Linked DNA regions of Arabidopsis thaliana. The protein of the gene in region 1 interacts with the protein of each later gene in a pairwise test. Each region holds a gene or a part of one and is shown on either strand. Other genes may lie near its edges. The genes, in order: IAA12 and SRO5.

Evidence for each region.
Region 2: the proteins of IAA12 (region 1) and SRO5 interact in binary tests that used the Arabidopsis thaliana proteins (3 or more experiments, as listed by UniProt).

Annotation. Positions count from the first base shown.
Region 1 is NC_003070.9:1,236,326-1,244,387, reverse strand, and holds IAA12 (AUX/IAA transcriptional regulator family protein), read right to left. Parts: upstream 4,095-8,062; 5' UTR 3,807-4,094; coding exon 3,604-3,806; intron 3,332-3,603; coding exon 3,045-3,331; coding exon of another isoform or gene 3,013-3,044; exon of another isoform or gene 2,964-3,012; coding exon 2,846-2,963; exon of another isoform or gene 2,773-2,845; coding exon 2,711-2,772; intron 2,628-2,710; coding exon 2,578-2,627; 3' UTR 2,231-2,577; downstream 1-2,230. Other genes in the region: AT1G04555 (uncharacterized protein), read right to left, coding at 439-536, 645-780, 876-946, 1,492-1,645; AT1G04540 (Calcium-dependent lipid-binding (CaLB domain) family protein), read right to left, coding at 5,327-7,132.
Region 2 is NC_003076.8:25,095,382-25,111,689, reverse strand, and holds SRO5 (uncharacterized protein), read right to left. Parts: upstream 13,747-16,308; 5' UTR 13,620-13,746; coding exon 13,162-13,619; intron 13,074-13,161; coding exon 12,829-13,073; coding exon of another isoform or gene 12,806-12,828; exon of another isoform or gene 12,746-12,805; coding exon 12,627-12,745; exon of another isoform or gene 12,534-12,626; coding exon 12,426-12,533; 3' UTR 11,923-12,425; coding exon of another isoform or gene 11,784-11,922; 3' UTR 11,783-11,783; downstream 1-11,782. Other genes in the region: AT5G62560 (RING/U-box superfamily protein with ARM repeat domain-containing protein), read right to left, coding at 1-1,617; AT5G62550 (microtubule-associated futsch-like protein), read left to right, coding at 3,815-3,857, 3,945-4,050, 4,285-4,666, 4,763-5,606, 5,688-5,740, 5,816-5,851; UBC3 (ubiquitin-conjugating enzyme 3), read right to left, coding at 6,225-6,347, 6,431-6,519, 6,599-6,688, 6,787-6,812, 6,887-7,011; ALDH12A1 (aldehyde dehydrogenase 12A1), read left to right, coding at 8,531-8,619, 8,972-9,051, 9,166-9,269, 9,361-9,428, 9,526-9,583, 9,691-9,804, 9,985-10,068, 10,150-10,254 and 8 more; AT5G62510 (F-box family protein), read left to right, coding at 15,055-16,308. UniProt on the Arabidopsis thaliana protein: Probable inactive ADP-ribosyltransferase that may be involved in stress and developmental responses.

The DNA.
Region 1 (8,062 bases):
TGCTTCATGGGCCTATATTGGGTTGGCACCAAAAAGGAAAACCGCATCTCACAAACATGTCGGTCGTAACCGCATGGCTGTTTTCACATATGTTTCTAAGAAGTAAGAACAAACCGATAATTTACATGTTTTTTTGTTTTGTAAAATATGAATCAAATTTATGTAATAAAGATGACTGATACAGGCCACAATGGTGATGACCATAAACTTGAGCTGCACTGGGCACCAGACTATATGATTAAGGTATATTTGATGAATTGACCAAAACACAAGTGTGTTTAAAAATCTTACTGAGTAACATACATATCCTTTCTTTTCTTTTCCTGTGTTTTGACAGGTTTCCAGCATCTCTGTCTGTCTTTACACTAGTAAGTATAATTTTTTCTATGAGACTTATAATGTTCAATAATTTTATGATATTTAGAGAATTAGTGACGTTTATGATGATGTTTTGGTGGACGAAGAAACTCCTCCGGTTTTCTCAAGATCCCGTTGTCTTGCTCGTTCCATTTTCCGCTTTCGCCATTCTTCCAATGCTGAGCGGATAACAAAAACATTTGTTACATACCTAAACCTTCATGTATAGTTTTGTTTCTGATCTGAATTCCATAGCATAAACAAGACGATTTCGCTATTATGTGTACCTTTCAAGCTCGATGCATCGTTTAGCGCACGGAAATCCTTCAGTCGTTTAGAGAGATCAACGGCTGTAGTCTGCTTCACATCTTTCTGCTGCTCGGTTTCTTGTCCCGCAGATGCCTCTTGTTCGATTTCTCGGACCTATCATTCATTTCAAGAACATAAGGCCAAATCACTCTCTCGAAAGCATAGATACTTGTAAATATCTAATGCTACAAAAAGCATAATGTGCTTACTCTTCTGATGAGCTCTAAAGGTTGCATCTTGAGCCTAAGTTCTTCGGCTTCCTTGATATACCGAAGCTGAGCTGCATTTATCAAAGAGGTAATGGTTATGTATGATGAAAGAAGAAACTTTTTCAAGTACCCAAAAAGAAGACAAAGCTCTGCAGTAATGTAGAAAAAAACATCAACAATCTCTCAAAGTTCTTCATCTCATTAAACCAAAAAAAAAAAAAAAAAAAAAAAAAAAAAAAAAAAAAAGTTCTTCATCTCTACAAGGCTTAGAATGTGAATATGTAACAACTTTGATATCAACAGTTCCATGGAAAGAGCTTAACTTTCAAGTGCCTTATGCAATTGAATTATCTGTTCAATACGCAAAAATCTAAACTTTTTCGAAATCGAATCATATCAGTGTAGAAGCCCTAAATCTACAAAGATCGAATTGAAGTGACCACAGGATCCAGAAATCTAAAAACGAGTCAACAAGCTTTTTGTTATGAGCAGATCCGAGAAAGACCCATCAGAAGATGATCCCTAAAGCACCAAACTTTGCTCAAATTCCGATGAAATCCAGAGAAATTACGCAAAATCAGGATATACCCACAAGGAATTCAGAAAAGTTACAGACCTGAAATGAGTCGGCGAGAAGAAGAAGAAGAAGATGGAGAAGAGGAGGAAGTGAAAAAGCCCTGAAGGAGGAAGAGGAAGATGAGAACGTTGATGACAGTGAGAGCAATTGTTGCGTTCTTGAACGAAAACCTCATGCGCCATTGATGATCCATTATCTTATTCCAAAGCAAACCCCAAAAATCTAAACCGTGGTCTTTAGAATTTCACCAAACTTGAATTTTATCAAGGATCATGAATCTTCCTTCTTCCTTTCTCTACAAGACTTTAATTTACTGGTCTTTTGACTTTACTACTTATCCTTTAATCTTTGGTTGGACTTGCTAAGCACTGTATCTCCTTTTCTAGGTAACAAGTTAAATATTACCTAAACAATCCATAACCTTATTATATTTTGATTTGGTGACGTGAATCCAAACATTTGTTATTTTCTTTGTCTTCAACTATCAGATTAAGAATAAAATCTTTACTTTTCAAAGTTTATCAATTTAAAGTAGTTTGCAGTTTTAAAAGATAACTCTTAACGTATTTTGTGTGAATTTAAGAACAATTAAGGACAAAACTTTTGATGGTCAAAACTTTTCTTGTCATCAATCATCAATATATGATTTTGATGGTCTTAGAAACATCTTCTCTTCGACCAAAAAAAATAAACATCTTCTCTGTTTTTTTTAATGACACACTCTTCTCTGTTTCTGCAAAACGTTTTGACTCGAGTCAATGGAAACTTCAAAAAGACAGAAAACAACAAACCATATTAAGGAACAAATATTCATTCTTTGGAATCATAAACATAACTCTTATCACATTAATTAGATAACTTCAACTATTTACAATCTGAGAGAACAAATAAACAAGAGCTTTCTCTCACAGAACATAGATAATTGGTACACAGCCAAAGAAGAAACAAACTGGAAAACTACGAATTGAATGACCTAAGCAAAACCATATCCGAAAACCGGATTCAAATCATATCTAAGCTTCTGCATGCTTTTATCCATATTCTCCAAAATACTTTCTTCAAAAAGTATCGAGTAAATTGCAAACCTCAAACAATACATAAACAATGCCAGCTTTGGAAGGGAAGCTAAACAGGGTTGTTTCTTTGTCTATCCTTCTGCTCTTGACGTCTTGGAGCTGCATTAAAAATGATTCAATCAGTCTTTTTCATTAGTCAAGACGAGAAATCAAGAAACCAGAAGATGATCTTTAAAACTTACCTAGTCCACTAGCTTCTGAGGTTCCCATGATCCGAAGCCTTTTCACCGAGTTGATAAACATTCTAAACAAAAAGAGAGAAAAGAGACTAATCAGGTTTTGAACTACTGCAATACTGCTTAATATCCGAATCTTACCTCCATGGAACATCTCCAACAAGCATCCAATCCCCTTCCTTATCTTCATAAGTGAGTACAAAGTCTGATGATCCATCTAAAAGCCTTAAAGGTTTAACCTTTTCTCGACAAGTAGTACCTGATAGATAAAACAGAAACTATCAGTAGATTCATAGAAAACATCGGGTTTATAGTGTACGCATTTGAAAACAGTACAGACCTGTCATTCCAAAGAACATTTCCTCAAGCGTCTGAGCCAAGTTTTCGTAAGACGAATGAGCTCTCATATCCACTTTTCTGCCTATACCAACTCCATCCATATTCACCTTAACAAACCCTAAGCCCTGAACTTTCGGATTCACCTTCATTGACACATCTTTGAGCTCATCATTCTTCACAACTTTCTTCTCCCCGTCTCCTTCTTCCGCTCTTGCTGCCTTCATAGCTTGGTTATTAACCAAACTGTTCATCCTGTGTAACCCAATTGGTGGCCATCCTACCACTTGACTGCCACAACAAACCAAGAAATTTCCACTCAATGGCTCTCGAAATTCAGATGTAATCATCTAAACAGACATTAAAATGAACAAATCTTAGCATTTGCATGACTCCATAGAGAAATCTATAGCACAGGACAAGCACAAGCTCATCAATGGAGATAGATACCTAACTCTTATTCAGGGTAAACTAAAACAAAAGCACCTACACAATTCTGTCCTGAGATGGCATAACACTCACATCACAAGATTTGAGCTTTCTTAATAAGAAAAAGGACGAACCTTGAACGAGGAGGAGAAGCTCCTTGGTGAGAGGAAGATTCAGCAGAGCGTTTAGACCCAACGGAAGGAAAATCCTTAGCAGTAAGAATCCTCCCACGCTCTTTCCACGCGCCACCACCGAGGCTGAGCCCTAATCCCAATTCCAGCTCACTCTCCGCCGGAAGATTACTCTTCCCCACCTCCAATTCTGACACACCACGCATGTCAATAACAAAACCCTAGACTCCAATGATACCAGCAGAGAAAGTGTCTTTCAAATAACCCACACAAAAAAGAAGCTTGATGACACAGAGAGAATGGAGACAACAAGAAGAGAAAGAGTGTATTTAGGGTTTGAGAGAGACGAGAGAAAGAGATGATGAAAACAGAGTAAAAGAGAGAGAGAGAGAGGAGGATTTTGGTGGTGGAGAGAGTGATGAGAATTGGGACCCATATGTCTTGTAATGGCCATACCAATTTTTTCTAACCAAAAGTCTTCTCCTTTGTTATAAAATATTGTTTGTTTTCTCTCAAAACTTGTCTTCCGACATAATCAAACCTGTTGTGCTCTCGTTGGGATATCGTTGTTGTGTTTGGTTCAAGCAGCAAGAGAAAATAGAGAGTCCCAAGAAACTTGTTTACAGTTGTATGTGTGTGTGCAAGGTTTTGCTTTGTGTTGCTGTTGCATCATAATATAGTTCTTTTTTGTTTTCTTTTCCGCTTGTGGTTTTTTTCTTTTCTTAACCAAAAATTGTATTGCTTTAGCCTTTAGGATGAAGAGTCTCTGTTTTAAATACCATTTTTCTTTAATTTGGGCTAATCAAAAAATCTAAATTAACTTTTATATTTCATATACTATGTATTGGTTACATTGCTCCTAGATTTTAGACCTAATTTTAGTCTCTCTTTAACAGGTTGGCCATCATTCTTTATACTAGCAAACTCGTTTATGGTCATATGCCATTTGCATATTGACCATTTGATTATCTTTCTTTTCTAATAACTAAGATAATATATATTTTCAACTTTTTCCTTAGACCATGATTGTTGTCGAACAAGATTATAAAAGAAAGTGAGGGAAAAAAAATGGTGGGAAAAGATGCATTATTATAAAATCGTGGTGATGAGATATTCATCATTATGTTTGATGATCCTTTGAAAACTTTTGCAGGCGCAATTGGTTTGTGGAAATTACACTTTTGATCAAAATCATTATCAAGGAGTACATAGATTTCATGCTCTAATTGATGGATTTGATAGAAAATAAACTAAATAACCGGTTATATCATGTATGAATCAAATAAGTATACATAATACATGAAAGTATAGTTAGAAATGCAGAATTTGTATATTTATTTTAGTTTTTTTTAGATTAATGTTTATATCATTTTGTTTCTTTTTAATTTTAGTCACCATTGTCTACAATACCAACATTTGTTCACTCACTCTTAGATTTCATTTTTATATTTTTTTTATTCCACTCACTCTCTTACATTCATTCACAGTTTTCTAATTTTGTTGTGTGAGCTCACTTTCTATTAAACACTATATTATAAGAAGAACATTTTTTAATTTTTTAAAAATAAGGAAGAAGAAGAGGAATACACAAAAATAAATGATTTATTAACACAACATTAATAAATTAATTTTTGTTTACTATTTGATTAATTCATCAGCTCAGATCCTTAAAAAATATAGTTTTCCAAAAAAAATAAAAGTTAATATAAGACCAATAAAATAAAGATCACACAAAGCTCAGATCGTCAGCGGAATATGTGCGTTGCACACGTCCGGCTCCACCTTTCTTAGTAGATCCTTCTGAGACCATCGGCCCACCACCACCACCGCATACGAAACTGCATTCCACACCACAAATCTTACTAAAACACGAGAAAAGTCCATTACCTCCATCTGTGTGACGGCGGTTATGCTTTTTCGTCGTCGGAGTTTTCCGTCTTGAACTCATTCCTCCCCCGGCAGTTGCAGCTGGAACGCTCGCGCCATCGTAATCAGTGCTACTTATATGGCTTGATCCTATGTCGTACAACGGTGGAAGCTCTGTTCGCCATCTCTCGAGTTTTGATCGCAATCCTTCGATGCTAGATTCATCGATGCTCCATTCGCTGAGTATTGAACTTTCCGTTTCGTGCGATCTATCTTTCGCCAATTTGTCAGCCACTTCAGATGGCGATGGTCCTAACTCCGATTCAGTTAAGATTCGTCTTCCAGCTAAATTCCTCACTGGTGTACCAAAATCGTGATGAGTTCTCATCGGTGTAGCCATGTAGTTTGATCGGATCGGGGTTGATCCGACGATGTTTGATCTCATTGGAGTCGAACCAACCATGTTAGACCGCATAGGAGTTCGCATTGGAGTCGATCCAACCATGTTGGGATGCATCGGTGACATTGCGATGATGTTGGATCTCATAGGAGTTGATCCAACTCCGTTAGATCTCATCGGAGTAGATGCGATAATGTTTGATCTCAATGGTGTTCCGTGCTTCGATAAGTACGGGGAAGCTCGGCCACGATCGTAATCTTTCACTGATCTTTGTTTCTCGATCCTTGTCTTCTTCCTCGGTGTCTTACCTGTTTGTTGATACGAACTATACGGCATAACATCATGTCTCTCCCTTCTCGACACTACCACATGGTGGTTCTCCATTGGCGACGGATTTATGAGATCTGATTCAATCGAATTGTATCGTTGCCTTGGAACTCTAAGGTTTTTACTAGGAGGTGTATACTCACTCGATTTTTTCTCATCAGAATCTGTCGTGGTGGGAAGAGTTTCAGATTCACTGCTCACTATTGCACTCGCTGGTTGTCTATTAGCTAAACGACTCCGTTCAGCCCTGCTAAGAAGATCCGAAACAACCATAGAACTTGTATCGCTCTTCGTACGACGGAGCTCAGGCCTTGAGATTACGGATTGGTACTGTCGAGAAGATGGAGATTGTGGATTCTTTGAGCTCCCTTTGTTGCTATTTAAATGCAAATGTTGTAGATGATGATCTTCTTCTCCGAGCAAATCTCTATATCCCACAGCAGATGAATCCATATGCGTATAAAGCGGCATACTCCGCATAGAACCATCAATTAATCCAACACCAATGTTCAAAATCCCCTGAGGTCGACCTGAAGTACGACGAACTTGAAGCGCAACAAATCTCATTCCTGGAGGTGGGGTACGACGATATTCATTGTTGCTGGTTCTGTATCCTGGACGGCGATTAGGAGGAATGAGGTTGCTAATGAGGACACGAACTGTTCCTACATGAACATCTCTGAACCAATGCAAGGCGTATATTTCGATAACCACTGCTGAAGTATCAGCGTAGAGAAATTCTTCGTTGACTCTGAATACGAATTTGTCGTTCCAAGTTGGGTTTGTTCCGCCATTATAGTCGACACGGGTGGTAAGTTTACGTTCGGAATGAACCCAAGCAACCGCATAAGTCTTTGTCTTGCGTGCGACGGGAGCCAAGTCCTGAGCTGATATTATGTTAAGTTCTAGCAACTGAAACGATGGGAACATCATCGACATTGTGGATCAATAGAGTGATTTTACATTAAAATCTTTTTGTTGGATTCGAGGGGACGGAGAATTGCGAGAGGGAGAATGAGATCTCTCTCGCAATTCTCAATTCAAAATTCTCAAAATTCTGAGAAGTGAATGATGAATGAAGAAGAAGGTAGATTGTTTGATTGGTGGTGGCAATTTCCGAAAGGAGGGAGAAAGGTAATAATAACCATTTTGCTAAATTTGGTTTTGTGTATGTGAGAAAGACAACGAGTTTATTAGGAGGCGTGTGTTGTTCTTCAGCTGAAGATTGCTATTTTAGGAGACGTTCGTGAGGATCAAGTTAGCTTTGGTGAAGAACTCTTTCCAATTTCAACTTACGTATGTGTCCTTTTGATTACTGAATTGTTGTCTGGTTTTGCAGAAATAAGAATAACAAACAAGGTGAATAATTTTTAATACCATTAACATTTAGACTTTTTGAGTGTAAGGATTAAGCAAGTAACACGTGTTAGCTCAGTCTTAGAATAGTTCATGATCCTTCATAATAACAATATCTTTTATTTTTCTTCTCAAAATATATAACTTCTAACACGATAAAGCCTTTCGTAATTGGTGTTCTGAAATTCTATGTGCTGGAATGGAATTTCAAAACCAACCCCATAGTCCAAAATGAACGAAACCAAACTGATTATTTTGTGGCCATGTTACACATCCTTGTCACATTTATTATGGGCTTCTTTTCATTTGAATGGACCAATGATTTGACAAGTTGTCCTCTTTTTGTATTATTGACTTGCCCCGGTCTAGACTCAAAAAACCTCAGTTCATGTGGACCTTATTGTCCGCCCAAAAGAAAGGTCAAAACTCATGTGGATATCCCTTCTTTCTTTATTTAATCACGAGTCACAAAACTTTTTGTTCCTTCCAAATCGAACCCAAACTAATTTTTTG
Region 2 (16,308 bases), on another chromosome or scaffold:
CCCAGTCGCTTCAAGCATACGGTTCCACTCACGCGCCTCCGCATTTTCCCCAAACTCACTCTCTCCTCCGCCTCCTCCTCTCATCGCCAGCAGAATCTTCGACGCCTTCTCCTTCACCCGTTCATTCCCATTCTCTTCCACTTCCATCAACACTTCCTCCGCTCCCGCCTCACTCGCCAACCCCCTAAACCTCAAATTCCCTTGACACAACGTCAACAGAACCGCCACACAATTCTCACGCGCCGCCTCTGAATCACCACCTCCGACTTCTCTAAGCTTCCCTACCAAAATCGCCACCGCGTTTCCATCTAACATCGCACCTTTTCCGTCTGGACAAGCGGCCAGGTTACATAGTACCAGCAAAATCCGGCTAGTCGAATCACCCGATCTTACCATCGAAAGCAGAGTCGGCACCGCACCAGCTCTAACCAGCCTAGTTCTATTGCTCGGAATCAGGGACAAATGGTAAAGCGCAAGAGCTGCATCTTGCCGCGCTCTTTCACTCTCCGACGACCGAAGCGCGTGAAGAAGCGGCTCCACCGCACCAAGAACTCCGATCACCATTTTGTTCTCATCTTCCAACGCCAAACTAAACAAAGCTCCGGCAACATGTTCCTGCGCCTCCGTCGTTCCCGATTTCAAAACATCGATCAACAGAGGAACAAATCCTGACCGTACGATCTTAACTTTGTTCTGTTTTTCCAACGAGAGATTAACCACCGAAGCAGCGGCGTTAGTCTGAACAAGATTGTACCGTGAAACAAGCAGCGATCGGAGAAAAGAGAGAATCCGATCTGTACAAAGCGAAACCCGAAGATCTTCACTAGATCTCGTCATCTTCCTAAGAAGAATCAAACCTTGCTCGTGGTCGAAAATGTCGGTACCTCTCAATTTATTGAAGATCTCTTCTTCTTCCGGTGACATCGGAGAAGAAGAGTGATCAGTGGAAGAGAAAGACATAGCGTTTCGAAATGGACTATCAGCACCAGCGAAAACTCCAGAGGAAGAAGAAGTAGTTGAAGAAGAGAACATACTAACGGCTCGAACCGGGTGATATGAACTCTGACCAATCGTCACCGATTCAAGAGACGTCGTCGGCGACATTGAATTCTTTGATCGAGCTCGAATCGCTTCCATCACAGCATCGTAATCCGAAGGTGAATTCTCTTCTACAGGAGGGAGAATCTCAGGCTCCGGATCCTTATCACCCGGACCCGGACTTTGACCCGGACTTGGATTAGGATCTTTATCCATTCGGGCACGAACCACGCCTTCGACGTAAGCGGCATCAGGAGGACGAGGATGGTCAACTTTTTGCCGATCACACCAACTGAAAATGGTGGATTTCATTGCGAGATTGGGGATGACGGTGGAAAGATCGGGTCGGGTACCGTCTAGGAGATCCGGTATATACCCTAAGTTACGACAGACTTGAACAGAGAGACGCTCGAAGGTTTGACCGGAAGAGACGACGACGGGATCCGACATGAGGAATCCGGTGATGGGACAAAGAAACTCCGGTGGAGTCTCGTCGTGTTTGTGTTGTGGTAAAGTAGTAGTGGTGGCGGATGAGGATCGTTGGTGGAAAGAGAACCATCTCTGCTTGTTTCCACCCATCGGCGAAAAAACTTGGGTTATTGAGAGGAGGAAGAAGATGAAGAAAGAAGAAGCGGCTCCGAGCTAAAAAAATCAAAGCTCGTAATATTCAGTCTTTGATACAGTCCAAAAGGTTTTGGATGATTAAACCGAACCAATAGATTAACCGGAAAAATCAACCGAACCAAGTTAGATTAAACCGGAAAACTATCTATTTGATTTTTGTTTATTAGCTAAATCAAGGGACAACAAAACGGAATTGGTAACGCTGATAGTAACGACTCTGACATTCTTGACTTTTTCATGGTTTACTTTTTTGAGAAGAATTAATATTGTAAAGGTGATGAATTGATGATCATCATTAATGGACACCTAATAATAATCACCATGAGCCATAAATAGTTTCTCATTTAACACAGTATCAAATCAAGAACTTACAAATAGGGAATAAATACTCCAAAAAGGTATCTTTGACATTTAATTTTACCAACCTAGGATATACTATTTTGCAAGGAATTTATTACGCAAAAATTATGAGCTATAGTTCAAGCTTTGTTAAGTTAATCGTAATTAGAAATTTGACAAAAGAAAAGTAGACTGAGTAATGCACACACCATATGATAATTAATTACCGGCGACATACTCAGAAAACGAGAATATATTTAAATATACATTCTTAATAATATTGTTCTTTATAATGTGAAACAAATAATTATATTGTTTCTAGTGAGATAAAGTCGGAATAGAGCGACACTATCGATTAGATAAAAAAAAAAAAAAGAACAAGAACATGACATCCACTCAGATGTGTTTTTTTTTTCCTTTCAAATGCACTAAGAGGAGTATGTTTTTATTTTACCAACGCTTTGTATTTGGTTACATGTGAACAAAGACAATGAGAATAGGTAGGATAGTTTCTTATATTATTTTGAAATTTCTTTTACCATTCATGTAAGCTTAAAATCTTTAATATTTATGAAAGTTATTTTAAGGAAGCATTATGTGGATAGCTTGTTGAAAACTTATTTAGGTATATGATTTGGCAGCAATAATCGTAAATAAAGAAGAACATATTTTGAGCAGCTTGACCAAAATTCCATTGACTATAACATAGGCTTATGGTTTATATTAGTATTGTCATTGTGTTACCATCTTATTCAAATTCAAATATTGCATGTTGTCGATAGAATATTATTTTTTTTAAAAATCTCACTTTTGATTTACTATATACACTAATACACTAAACAATACAAACAAGATTAGAAATGTTTAATTTATTAAAATTCTTATTTGTTTGTTATGGTCAAAAATAGATAGACAGAGGATAAACTTGTAAACTGGCAAAACCTAGCTTAAGCGTTGTGACTCATATCCCTCTGTTTTTTTAGATGATCGAGTGTTTAGACTTTAGAGATCCATTTTCTTCTAATTAAAAAAGCACAGTACTAAAAGTATTGGACCGAACCCAAATGAAGCCCAGTATCGAGAAAACATTAATGGGTCGTCAGATATTAAAGAAGCCCCTCAATCTTAACAGTTATATAACAAACGGTTAATCAATCAGTCAACGGCGTTATTTGAATTTGAAATTTCGAAAAATAAACAAAACAAAAAGAAGACCCCACAGACAACGGAGCGTTTGGAAAAATGAGGTCCCTCAGATTCCTAAATCAATCGAATCGGACGGCTCAGAGTAACTCTCTCTCTCTCTATCTTCTCCCAAAGAGACTTTCAACCAATTTCCCGCTCTCAAGGCAAACTGCAACAGAAATTTAGGTTTTACGGATTATTCAAAAAGTAGACCCTTTAACTTTAGAAATCTTCATTTTTAATCCCAAGCTAATGTTTTTACATACTAAAACCTTTATCTCTGTTCCCAAACTAATATATATGAATATTTTCAAATATATATAAACTCAAATAAATTTGTTTAAACTTTTAATCAATTCAATTTCAAATGAAGCATCAAATTTACCCTTATTGGGTAGAGTAAAAAATGGGTCAGAATTGGTTTAATAGAAAATAATGAGGCTATAAGAGAAATATCAAATAATGTAGGGGTCATCCACGAGTTCTTAGAAACAAATCAGATTGTTTTGTTATTATTATAAGTCAGAGATTTCTCCGCTCTCACAGTTTTTCAAATTGAGATCTTCAGTTTTTTTTCTCTCTCAGTCTAAACAAAACAAAAAAGCGTTAAAAGTTTCTAAGTTCATCAATGGAGAAATCAATGGAGAAAAGCGTGAGCTCTGCTGCTTCTGGTAAATCTTCTTCAATTCCTTCTATCTGATTATCACTTCCCATTTCAGTTTTCGTAATGTTTTTCTGATTCGAAAATTTCTGAACAGGTAATTCAATAAACTCGAAGCTGAGGTATCCTCTCAGATCGGCTCTTAGATCCAAGGAAGGGAAGCCTCCTGTTCCTGATTTCTCTGCTTCTTCTATGCCCAGAAGGTACTATTGATTCAATAATGATCCTAGATCCGGATTCAACGAGACATTGATGATGCTAGAATTTGTTCATTTTCTGAATTCTAGAGAAGATGAAAATTTTCCCAGAATTTTGGTCATTTTCTCCTGATTCATATCTTGAATTGCTAGTTTAAGATGATCAGTTATGGTTTATATAAACGTTGCAATGTAATTTGTCTTATGGATTATATTTATGTGTGTGAATTTGAATCTCAGGGCACGAGTTGTATCTGCTGTTAGTCAGAGTACAACAGTTCTTGATTTGTCTGGGAAGAAGAGTGTTGATCGAACCAAGCTACCACCAAGAAGACTTTCGATTCCAAACAAGCCCACAAGCAATTCTTCTGTTAAATCAGTGAGCAGCAGCGTCACTTCTCTTTCTGAAGTCAAGCCAAAGAGATCACGCATTGTTCCTAGAAGCTTCAATGAAACAACAACACCTGTCTCTAGTAATCTCAGATCATCAGTGACTCGAAAGAAAGTTGAAGACTTGTCTTCCTCTACTTATTGGCTGACTCATATCAAGCTAGCTGAATCCGTGGCGAAACATTCGATCTCTCTCGGTTTCTTTAAACTTGCTCTTCATGCAGGGTGTGAGGTGAAAATGCTCATTTACAATGAAAGCTTTAATTTGGAATAAGTCTTGATTCGTTTGTTTTATTATCTCACTGGCTTTGTTTGTTTTGGAATCTAGCCACTTGACAAGATGAAAGAAGAGTTGAAATTGTATGCTCGTCGCAATAACATGGATGGGCTTGCTGATGCTATGAAGGAACTTTCGGAACTGTACAATATCTCTGAAGAATCCAATCAGGTGCAGGTCTCGGAGACTAGTTCTGTTGTAGCTGAAGAAACAGCTATGTCTCTGAACAACGATAATGATGTCCAGAGTTCATTCTCCACTCCTGGAAATTCGAACATCACATCAGAGATCACGAAAGACGATGCTTTGCAAGATTCAACCGTCACAAAAACAACTAAGGAAAAAGATGCTTTGCAAGATTCATCTGTCACAGAAACAACTAAGGAAAAAGATGCTTTGCAAGATTCATCTGTCACAGAAACATCTAAGGAAGAAGGTGCTTTGCAAGATTCATCTGTCACAGAAACAACTAAGGAAGAAGATGCTTTGCAAGATTCATCTGTCACAGAAACAACTAAGGAAGAGCAGGCGTTGGAAACTGTAACACAAGGAAGAACTAGAAAGTCTCTGGAGGTAATCAATGTGAACCAAGAGAATGATTCAGAGGTTGTTCAGGAATCCGAAGAAGGGCTCCGTCCATCAGCAGATGGTGTTCAGATCGTGACTGTTGTTAAACCTTCAGACAAGAAACGTGCCAGAAAGGAGACTGTTCCTAAGAACAACCTGCCGGTGAGGACAAAGAAATCACTAGCAACCAACTCTGCTAATTCAAAAACAGTTCAAGTAAACAAGGATGATAAGTCTCAGAAGAAGTCTGAGAGGATCACTAAACCCAGGACTAAGAGAGTTCAAGAAGAGTCAAAGAAGTCAATTAAGAAATCTACTGCTAAAGAAGGTAAAAGGAAAATCATATAAATGTCTTTGAATAGCTTGTGTAGCATTTGTGGCTGATCGTTTTTAATGTTCATATGTGTAGGTGAAGTTAAATCTCTGAAGCAAACAGAGAAAATGGAGAACAAAGAAAACACGGTGAGTGAAAAACTTCTTTAAGTTCACAGGATCGAAATTGTTCTTGTAGCTAACACAAGCTTTTTCTCGTCGCAGGTTGTTGTTGGTGCAGGAGAAGACATCCAGGTTTAAATGAAGAACAGAGAAGCGTTTCTTCAACATATCTCAAACAATCTTTTTCTTTTGGTTTGAATGATTTGTTCAAGTACATAGTTGAAAAACCTTTGCAAGTTTGTTTCCAAAGTGTGGTTTGAAAGACAACAAATGTTTTATTTGCTTGCTCTGTAATTGTTTTAAGTTTTACTTTCATGTCTTCATTTGAAGTCTTTCTTCTACTGTTGTCTCTTCAAATTTGGTTATTCACTATTATCAAAATATATATATATTTATAGCAGAAATCTCATTTCCGAAATTTAAACATCCATGTAAAATAAACTCAAGGCAGATAATAAATACTATTCAACATCCAATTACTCATTAGTCAATACAACAAAATGAATCATATTTATACATAGCTCTGCTCCACGATCTCGATTACTTTCCTGTTATATTCTCTTTTATTCTCACTGAACAACCTTGCAGCCTCTGCGTTCGCTGGTGAGTCAGGGTTTGGGTCACAGAGCAAAGACTGTAAAACAAAAGGTCTTGGTTTAGTTCATGCATAACCTCCACAATGCAAAAGATACAAATGAAGAATTCAGAAGTCAAAACCTGAATTGATGTGAGAACTGCAGCAACGTCGTAGATGGGGCTCCACTGGTTTTGCAAGATATCCAAGCAAATGCTTCCATCAGCATAAACTGCACCAAAGTTCAATTATCAAAGTCGAATTTCCTAATTGGTCTATTACTATGTTGTTCACTGAATGCTTGGGCTTACTGTTTGGATGAAACATCCGTGAAACAAACCGAACAATCGGGGGTTTGTTCGGATAATCCTCGGTGAAGTGAAGAGTCAACTTGAAAGTACCTGATGAACACAACAGACTGATTATTTTAGCTATAAGTTTAACTCATGACAATATCTCGGTCTGCAGCAATAGCCAATAAGTACTGAAAGATAATTACCTCCATCCCATGGAGTGTCCTCAGGTCTGCAAACAAAGACAATGAAGAAATAAGTTTACAAAGCCATGCTTTGAAGAGAAAACAAAACAAAAAGTTATACCCAAAGATGAGAGCATTCCAATGCATGATATTGTTATCTTGTGGAGCTCCACTTATTCCCACAGGAGGATCTTTCTGCAGTCTCTTGAAATCCCACATCAGTCTCTTTTTTGCTGGAGTTGTCATTGCTGTTGGAAATTCACAGACTGCATCCAAATATGAAAGATTTCAACTTTACTCTTACAAACTCATTTCATAAGTCACAAAGTAAGAGCAATTGCATGAACTAGGCTTTAAATTTCTGATTAAAGTTTCAATTTTTTTTCAGACCCAAAAAAAGTAGAAGCAGAGACCAAGATCTACATTTCTATAACCTATCATCATAGTTTAACAAAGACTTAAGCTTCAACAACCATATAGCCCAAAAGGTCAGAGAACAAGAATCACCAAACTTCTAGACAAGAAAGCTTGAAGCTTGGATTATTTCAACTAGCAAATTAAGTTCGACTCAACGATAGTAGCTGTGTATAAATTCTGAATTTAAATTCTGAATTTAAGTAGATCAAGAGTACAATTATCGATTTCAACGAGCCTTAGGATTAGATTATACAATCACCTATGAAAGATTTGATCTTCCGATGTCATGCATCAAATGAAAAAGCTCGATTAACCTAAAATTACCTGAAGTTCAAAGCTGCAATGAAAAGTGATTCGCAACACTAGGAATTAGGGTTTTTCCAATGTTTTTCATAGACCGAAAGAGATGATGAAACTATTATGAGTGGAGAATAAATAAAGTATATATAGAGGGAGAGAGAATCAAAGTTGAGATTTTTCTTTCCTTTTTCTTCACCAAATAAAGGAAGAGAAGAAGAAAACACAAAGAAAGTTTAAAATGAAAAAATCATATACTATTTTAAGAAAATAAAATACAAAACTTGCCAGAAGAAAAAAACATATATATATTTTCTTCCAAAGACGAAAAAAGACTTTTATAATTTTAATACAATTTTAATATTATTATTTTTTATTTGTCGGTTCGTGTAAAAGACAAACGTATACGTCTATTACTCAATGGGCCAATGGCCCAAGCGGACGTGACTCAGCAAGCTATCACCATTTTAATACTTATTTATCTATCAAGATTTATTTATCTATTTTGTAATTGACATCTGTGTTCATCTTACAAAATTCCTTGGTTGATCCCTGGATTTGATGTCAAATATCACTAATACTATTGATTTTCCAATTTAAATTTCAAAAGAGTAAAACAGTAGATAATAATCATAAATCTCTTTTTTTTTTTGTACCAATTTTCATTATTAGTTTCCCTTGATATTTAACTAATTACTATTCCATTAGTCGAATTGATTAGAGGAGGTCTTTAAAAGAGATTTACTATTATTTTTATTTTTTGCTCAACTTCTTCTTCCTCATGAGTCATGACTCATCACATCAGGGTTTATAAGAAGCCATTAGAAACTATGGGGTAAAAAAGATAATAACCTAGAAATAAGAAATTATCTGTAAATATCTTTAAATCATTAATGTATTTCTCGTCAATCAGGGGAAAAACATTTAATTCTTTAATAAGCTGCTAAACACAAATCACTCGAGAATTCGCTATTTTATCACCAATCTTCTTGAATCCTCTCATCCAATCGTCTGATTCTCATCTTTCTCCGTTACTTGTGGATCTTACGCAATGTATAGAGTTTTTGCGAGCCGAGCACTGAGAGCTAAGTCTCTCTGTGACAAATCATCCACCTCGCTTGCTTCTTTGACTCTCTCCAGGTTTTTCAAACGTCCTGATCTCACCAAATTATTTCTTGTTTTGTGTTAAACATTGCTCTTCGTCTTTTGGGGTTGCATGTTTTTGCCTAAAGTAATAGACTTTCCATTTGTATATATATATAAATAAATAAAAGAGAAAACTTTAGCAAGTTGGTGTATTAAAAATTTGAGATTTAGATCATCGAGTAGCCGCATCTGCTCAGTCTCTATGTAATGAAGAGAGTGTTAGCTGATTAGAGTTTGAAATGGTACTTTATGTATTTGTGTTCTGATTACTCTTTGATGTCTGAGAATGTGATCCATTTAAAAGAGTGTTCCTTTGCCTTAATTTTTGTGTTTATGGATCTTGCAGATTGAATCATTCCATACCTTTTGCTACCGTAGATGCCGAGGAGCTCTCTGGTGCTCATCCTGCTGAAGTACAGAGCTTTGGTATGTCTTTACTTCTCACTGATTGTGCGTTGACGCTATGGAAATGAGTAATAGCTTGTTGGTTAAATGCTGTTGTGAAGTCTCTGAGTTCTACTTTCATTGTTATGTCTATAGTGCAGGGAAAGTGGATAGGATCGTCAAATCATAACACGCTTCTAGATCCTCTAAATGGAGAACCGTTTATCAAAGTTGCGGAAGTGGATGAATCAGGAACTCAGGTACGAGCCTATCAAAAACCGTTGATCGTATCACAATGTTGTTTATCCGTGTCAATTCTAACTTTCAGTTTTCCTCTGTTCTATGTTGTAGCCATTTGTGGACAGCTTATCCCAGTGCCCGAAACATGGTCTCCATAACCCTTTCAAATCTCCAGAGAGGTATGATTTGGTTGAGGTTTGGTGCTATTTCTTCTTGTTTTGTCATTTCCCATTTTGTTTCATATATGAAGGATAGTAATGGTCTTGTTTTCTACAGATACCTTTTATATGGAGATATCTCGACAAAGGCAGCTCATATGCTCGCCTTACCTAAGGTAACACATACTTTTTTTGTTGAATCTCGAGTCTTGAATTCAAAAGGTTTTGTTTTCTGAATAACATGCATACTGAGCTACTGTTGTATGCGTGTATACACTATTAGGTTGCTGATTTCTTCGCGAGGTTAATTCAAAGGGTTGCTCCAAAGAGTTACCAGCAAGCTGCTGGAGAAGTCTTTGTCACACGGAAGTTTTTAGAAAACTTTTGTGGTGATCAGGTACATTACTCTCTTCACCATTTTTTATTTTGGTTCCTGGCTATTAGTTTCAACAACTTAGTAATTCTTGAAGGCATGTTCTCAAAAATGCCTATATAGACATTTCATGTTTGTGGCTGAATTTCCGAAATTACATCTTTAAATGTATGTTTATGATTTCGCTTCACTTTCTTTTATCAGGTGCGGTTCCTGGCACGGTCTTTTGCAATCCCTGGGAATCATCTTGGGCAGCAAAGTCATGGTTACCGTTGGCCTTATGGTCCTGTAAGGCATTCTTCCTAGATGGTTGTAATTGGTGAGAACTCTGTCTGTGCTTTGTTTTGAAATCATAGATTTGTAATGCAGGTAACGATTGTTACACCATTTAATTTTCCACTTGAGATTCCACTACTTCAGTTGATGGGGGCATTATACATGGGTAACAAACCTCTTCTTAAAGTGGACAGCAAGGTATAAATTACTCTTCACATTACTATAGTTCTCGTAATTGTATTGGTTCCATCTGTTTGATAATATAATGTTATTTGATTAGGTAAGCATTGTTATGGAGCAAATGATGCGATTGCTCCACTATTGTGGTTTACCCGCTGAAGATGTGGACTTTATAAATTCTGATGGGAAGACAATGAACAAGATATTGTTAGAGGTATTTGGTCAGGAATTCACAAGTCTATTGTCTCCACAGGGTTTTTAGTTGAGCTAATTCAGTGTCTTGTCGATTTGTAACTTCTTTCAGGCGAACCCACGGATGACCCTCTTCACGGGTAGTTCTAGAGTAGCTGAAAAGTTGGCACTTGACCTTAAGGGTCGAATCAGATTGGAAGATGCTGGATTTGATTGGAAAGTCTTAGGACCAGATGTTCAGGAGGTTTCTTATTATACCCTTCCGTATTTGTATTTCCACAAGTCTCCTTAAATGTGATTGTAACCCTTGTTTCGGTCTCTAATGTCAGGTTGATTATGTTGCATGGCAATGTGATCAAGATGCATACGCGTGCAGTGGACAGAAGTGTTCTGCACAGTCTATGCTTTTTGTTCATGAGGTTGGTTTGATCCTAATTGTTATGGTGAAACTACCTTTGAATCTTTTGTTTACTTCCATTTTCTTCTGTCTTTGTTGTTTTCAATGTATTTTCTCTCTGAGCAGAACTGGTCAAAAACCCCTCTTGTTTCCAAATTAAAAGAACTAGCGGAAAGACGCAAACTGGAAGACTTAACCATTGGTCCTGTCCTTACAGTGAGTTTCATTGTTTCTCCATCTGTTGTTAATCATCTGATGAGATTGTATCATTAAAACTTATTTTTTCATTATTGTTTCAAGTTTACAACTGAGGCAATGTTGGAGCACATGGAGAATCTGCTTCAGATTCCTGGCTCAAAGCTACTCTTTGGTGGCAAGGAATTGAAGAATCATTCGATTCCTTCAATCTACGGAGCTTTGGAGCCAACTGCAGTTTATGTTCCCATTGAAGAAATCTTGAAGGATAATAAAACCTACGAACTCGTCACCAAAGAAATCTTTGGACCATTTCAGGTTACCTTGATATCGACTTTATTAGCTTTGTCTAAATGATCTTGTGTGTTTCTTTTACTGAAACGTATAGTGTTGTTTCTGTATATGATATCCAGATTGTAACGGAATACAAAAAGGATCAACTTCCTCTAGTGTTGGAAGCATTGGAGAGGATGCACGCTCATCTAACTGCAGCTGTTGTTTCAAACGATCCCATCTTTCTTCAGGCAAATCTTTTCACAATTATCATCAATCAATCTCTTATTCTCTATCCCTTCGATATTGATGTAACAAATCTGTGCAGGAAGTAATAGGGAACTCAGTGAATGGGACTACATATGCTGGACTAAGAGGAAGAACAACTGGAGCTCCTCAGAATCACTGGTGAGAGGAAAAATCACACTCCCAAATTAAAGTATCTATTTCTATTTCTTTGAGGAAAAGTTAAACTATCATATAAACACAGGTTTGGACCTGCGGGGGACCCGAGAGGGGCCGGGATAGGGACACCAGAGGCTATAAAGCTGGTTTGGTCATGCCACAGAGAAGTCATCTACGATTATGGTCCGGTTCCACAAGGTTGGGAACTTCCTCCATCTACTTAGAAGTGGTGTGTCCACTAATAATTAATAAACTAAGATCTTAGTGTGCTGTTGCATCAAATAAATATGAGTTTTGTAGTTTTATCTCTACGAGTAGTTTCCGTGTGAGGGAATAAGAGCTTGAAACATGAAGTTTTCAACGACGTTGACTTAGTCAAGGGGTAGAGGGATTAAGACAGAGAGAGAACTATTGTAAAACTCAGTCCACCAGAAATTTTCTTCAGCTCAAAGCCAGACAATAATACAAATGTTTTTGAAAGAAGAAGAGTGAAAAGAAAAACAAGATGATAACTTGTTAATGTTCTCTTCATTAATAATGTTGCTAAGACCCTAATCTAATCGATCTTAAATAATCTAATGAACAGTTTTTTTTCATCACTATCATGGGAAAACAATAGAAAGGGACTCTACCAGTCCTGATCATTTTGGAGTTGGTAAACAGACAAATACAACCATGGTGATTGTGTCCTTGAAACAAAAACGCCAAAGTGATCTGCAATGGAGATTTAGTGTTGTACTTTATGTCCACAAGCTTTGATGATGTGAACTAGTAACTTGTCTCCGGTTATGCTTCTGACTCGTTGGATTAGTTCGCTCCGTGTAATTCTCCTATTCTGTTAAATCCAAAGGAAAGCAACAATTAGAATGTGAAATGAAATCACCTCAAAAGATAATTGAAGAGGAAACAAACAAAAAAAAACACTTACTTGTTGATCTTTGTAATGTTTCTGAATGACAAGTATTTGAGAAGGAGGTAGAAACTTGGACAATGCTTTGATCAATACAGGAAATGCCATCCATGGTGATCTCAATCTCTTTGGACTTCCTGCAAAAACAGTTATAACTATGTCAAAAAACCATAAACAAGAACAAGAAAAACTCAAGATTAGAGATTTTGATTTTGCTTACGAGTTAGGTTAAATGGAGCTTTGATGCAAACAAGAAACTCAGGCAAAACATGAGTGTTCATGTGTGTACTCCACACAATATACTTCTTCGTAGAAACTAAATCATCCACACCAGAATCAAACTCTGGTGAACTTGGACATGATCTAGTCGAGCCTTGAGGAACAATCTCTGATTTTCCAAGTAGAACTCTACAAAGCAACAAGAATCTCATCCCATCTTCTGATTCTGAAGCTGAATCCTTCAAACTAATCAAACAAACAAACACCAAAAATGAGATTTTGAGACCAATGAATTTCGAAAAATTGAAACTTTTAGAGATTTAGAGAAACTTACCAATCAAGAGGAGAATTATCCGGCGAGAGATACAATCCACGGCCAAAAGATCCATCATTCCTCAGCGGCTCGCTAAACCCATACTCAAAAATCGTTTTAAGCTCATGTTTCGAAACAGAGCACCAACCGTATTTCACCTTAGCTCCACCGTCTCCACCGTGTTTCATCTGCACCGCCTCTTGAAAAACCTGAAAAGTCTTGAGCTTTGCACGAGATCCAACGTTCCTAAATCCGTTTCTAAGAACAGAGAGAATCTGACATTGATCACCAAGACCAGATTTACAATTACGATAGATCAAATCATGAGCTTTATCTCCTTCAAGCAACTCCATAAGCCCAAGCTCGTCAGCAAAAGATCGATCAGAAGAAGAATCGCAGCTTCCAGATTCAGAGATGGTTGATCCATCTTGCTCAGAATCATCAAAAACAGCTTCGACTTGGGTTCTCACGTAATCCATTGAAAAATAGGAACTTTAGAACCGAATGAGAAAAGAAACTTTATAAAGCTTTTGAATTAGTATTTTGTTACTTGAGAGAGGAAAAGAACTTGAGGTCCAAGTTCATATTTATAGCTATGACTTAAGGAAATAATTACACATATGGAAAAAAGAACCGCCTTTTGTTTCTGTTACCGTCGGTTTTGCAATTTTTATAAATATCAAAAACTCAGAGTTTCTTGTCTTTTTCTCCGTGGAGAAGACGTAAACAAACATTTAACAGCTAAATATCTTTCTTATTTTATTACATAATAAATACTTTGGTTAAGTTTTTGTAAGTTGCGGCCGCTAGCTGTTTTTTTTTTCTTTGAGGGGTCTATTCCGTGTTGGAGTTCGTTAAGCGGGTTGGTTGGTGTGAAAAGACGAAAATATCCTTTGGATCAAGTGGGGCTTTTAGGTAGAAGCGGAAATGACGAAGTTACCCTTTGCTTGTGGACATCGAGAATGTGTTGTATCGCGTCTTTCTTAGTTGAGAGGACACGACCGACACACGTAACACGTTTTATACGTAACCAATTTCAATTTCTTAAATGAATTTTAAGGTCAATATTATTTTAGTTAGAATCACATAAGTGTATAACTAAATAAATTAATCGACAAACAATGTGAATGTGTGTGATTACAATGAATAGGTTAAATTAGATTAGTATAGTTAAACTCACCGAAATCGTGTTTGACTTGTATCATTGCAATCAAATGTCTTTATACAAACTTATTTACTAACAACATATCGTCTTCTAAGTATGAACTCTTAATTTTCAACAAATTGAGATTCGTATATGTTTCAAAGTCATATTATAAGCACAATTAAGTCTTGTTTAAGAAAACGCATAAGTAATCAAATTGATTAAAAAACATATTGTAAAAAAATCCTAAATTAATCGCAATGAAATGGTAAATAAATTGGGTTTTCAATAGGTAACTCTGTTTATTTTTGAATATTTAGAAATAATCCCGAAAGAAACTTGATTCAAATGAGCTTACCGCTAGCGATATCCAAATATTAGCTAGAAATGACTTTAATCAATTTTTTCTTTTTTTTTACCTTAATCATAAATCATAAGCATGCATGTTTTTTAGAATTATCTCATTCAGAAGCCCATACATGAATCAATGATAATTTGTTATTGAGCCATACTTCATTTTATGAACGATATAAGCCTAGTAAGAACATTGCGAGACAAATAAAAACCAATCCGGTAATCTTTCAAATTTAGGAACATACCGTATATATTGGGTTTCGGTTCATTTTTAAAACCGAAGAAAACCGGTTAGGGTAAACTTTCTTTTCCTAATCAACAAAAGGAAAACTGTTGATTAGAGACGATCATCGTCCTCTACTTTATAAAACTGTCACAACCCTAGAATTTGGATATACAAGTTTGTAGTAGTAGCCATGCGTTTGTCTGTAGCTCTGATTTCATCTTTTCAATGGAAGAAGAGGTCTTCAAAGGCGATTATGAGAAGAGGAAGAAAAAGAAGAAGAAGAAGACAAAGAGGAGAAGATTTTTTTGTGGCACCGGAGATTCCTTTGGATCTACTGATCGAGATTCTGACTAGATTGCCTCATAAATCGCTTATGAGGTTCAAGTGCGTTTCAAAGCAGTGGTCTTCTCTTATCCGTTCCCGATTTTTTAGCAACCGTTATCTTACGGTTGCATCTCCACTGCGACCACATCGTCTATACATTAGTTTGGTGGACCACAAGTGTGATTCAAGGGAGGTCTGCCACAGCCCCCGCGAGTCTGTACTGCTATCATTCTCATCGCCTTCTAGTTTCGACCAAGATTTGACGACCATGCAAGGGATGGGAGGACTACATATGGTGACTCTTCGTGGCTTGATTTTATACATTGTTTGCGGAAAAGCGTGTCTCTATAATCCCACCACCAGACAGAGCGTAACCTTACCCGCCATCAAATTCAACATTTTTGTCCAAGGAAACGAACATAGTCTCCTCTACTTCTTGGGGCACGATCCTGTTCTTGATCAATACAAAGTAGTTTGCACTTTTGTGTCATCATCCTCACAAGATTTGGAAACGATAATCTCGGAGCATTGGGTCTTCGTACTGGAAGTTGGAGGTTCTTGGAAAAGAATTGAGTTTGATCAACCTCATACTCCTACGAGATCTGGACTGTGCATCGGTGGAGTTATATATTATCTTGCTTTCACTAGTATGTTTCAGGATATCGTTGTCACCTTTGACGTTAGGTCTGAAGAATTTAACATTATCCAAGCGCCTCTTGTGTTGTCTGCATATGTTGACTCTCTGGATTTTATAGAGTACGGTGGGAAACCAGCTATTTTTTATCATACTAGTCTTAAAGAAAACGGTTTGGTAGACTTATGGGTCTTGGAAAATGCTGGAAACTGGTCGAGGACAGTTTTGAGTTTGCAGCCTTGTCAGCTGCATTTAGTTGATAACGACATTCCATTGACGTTAGTAGACACAACTCAAAACGGCGAGGTTGTCTTGGTACCAAGTGACTTGTGTTCCCCTTTTTACATTCTCTATTATGATATACAGAAGAATCATCTGAGGAAGGTTGAAATCCAAGCAATGCCGGACCATAAGAAGGATGGGATCAAAGGAATACCGGACTTTGGTTTCAAACTTATGGATAAGAGTGAAAGCATCATCCACTTG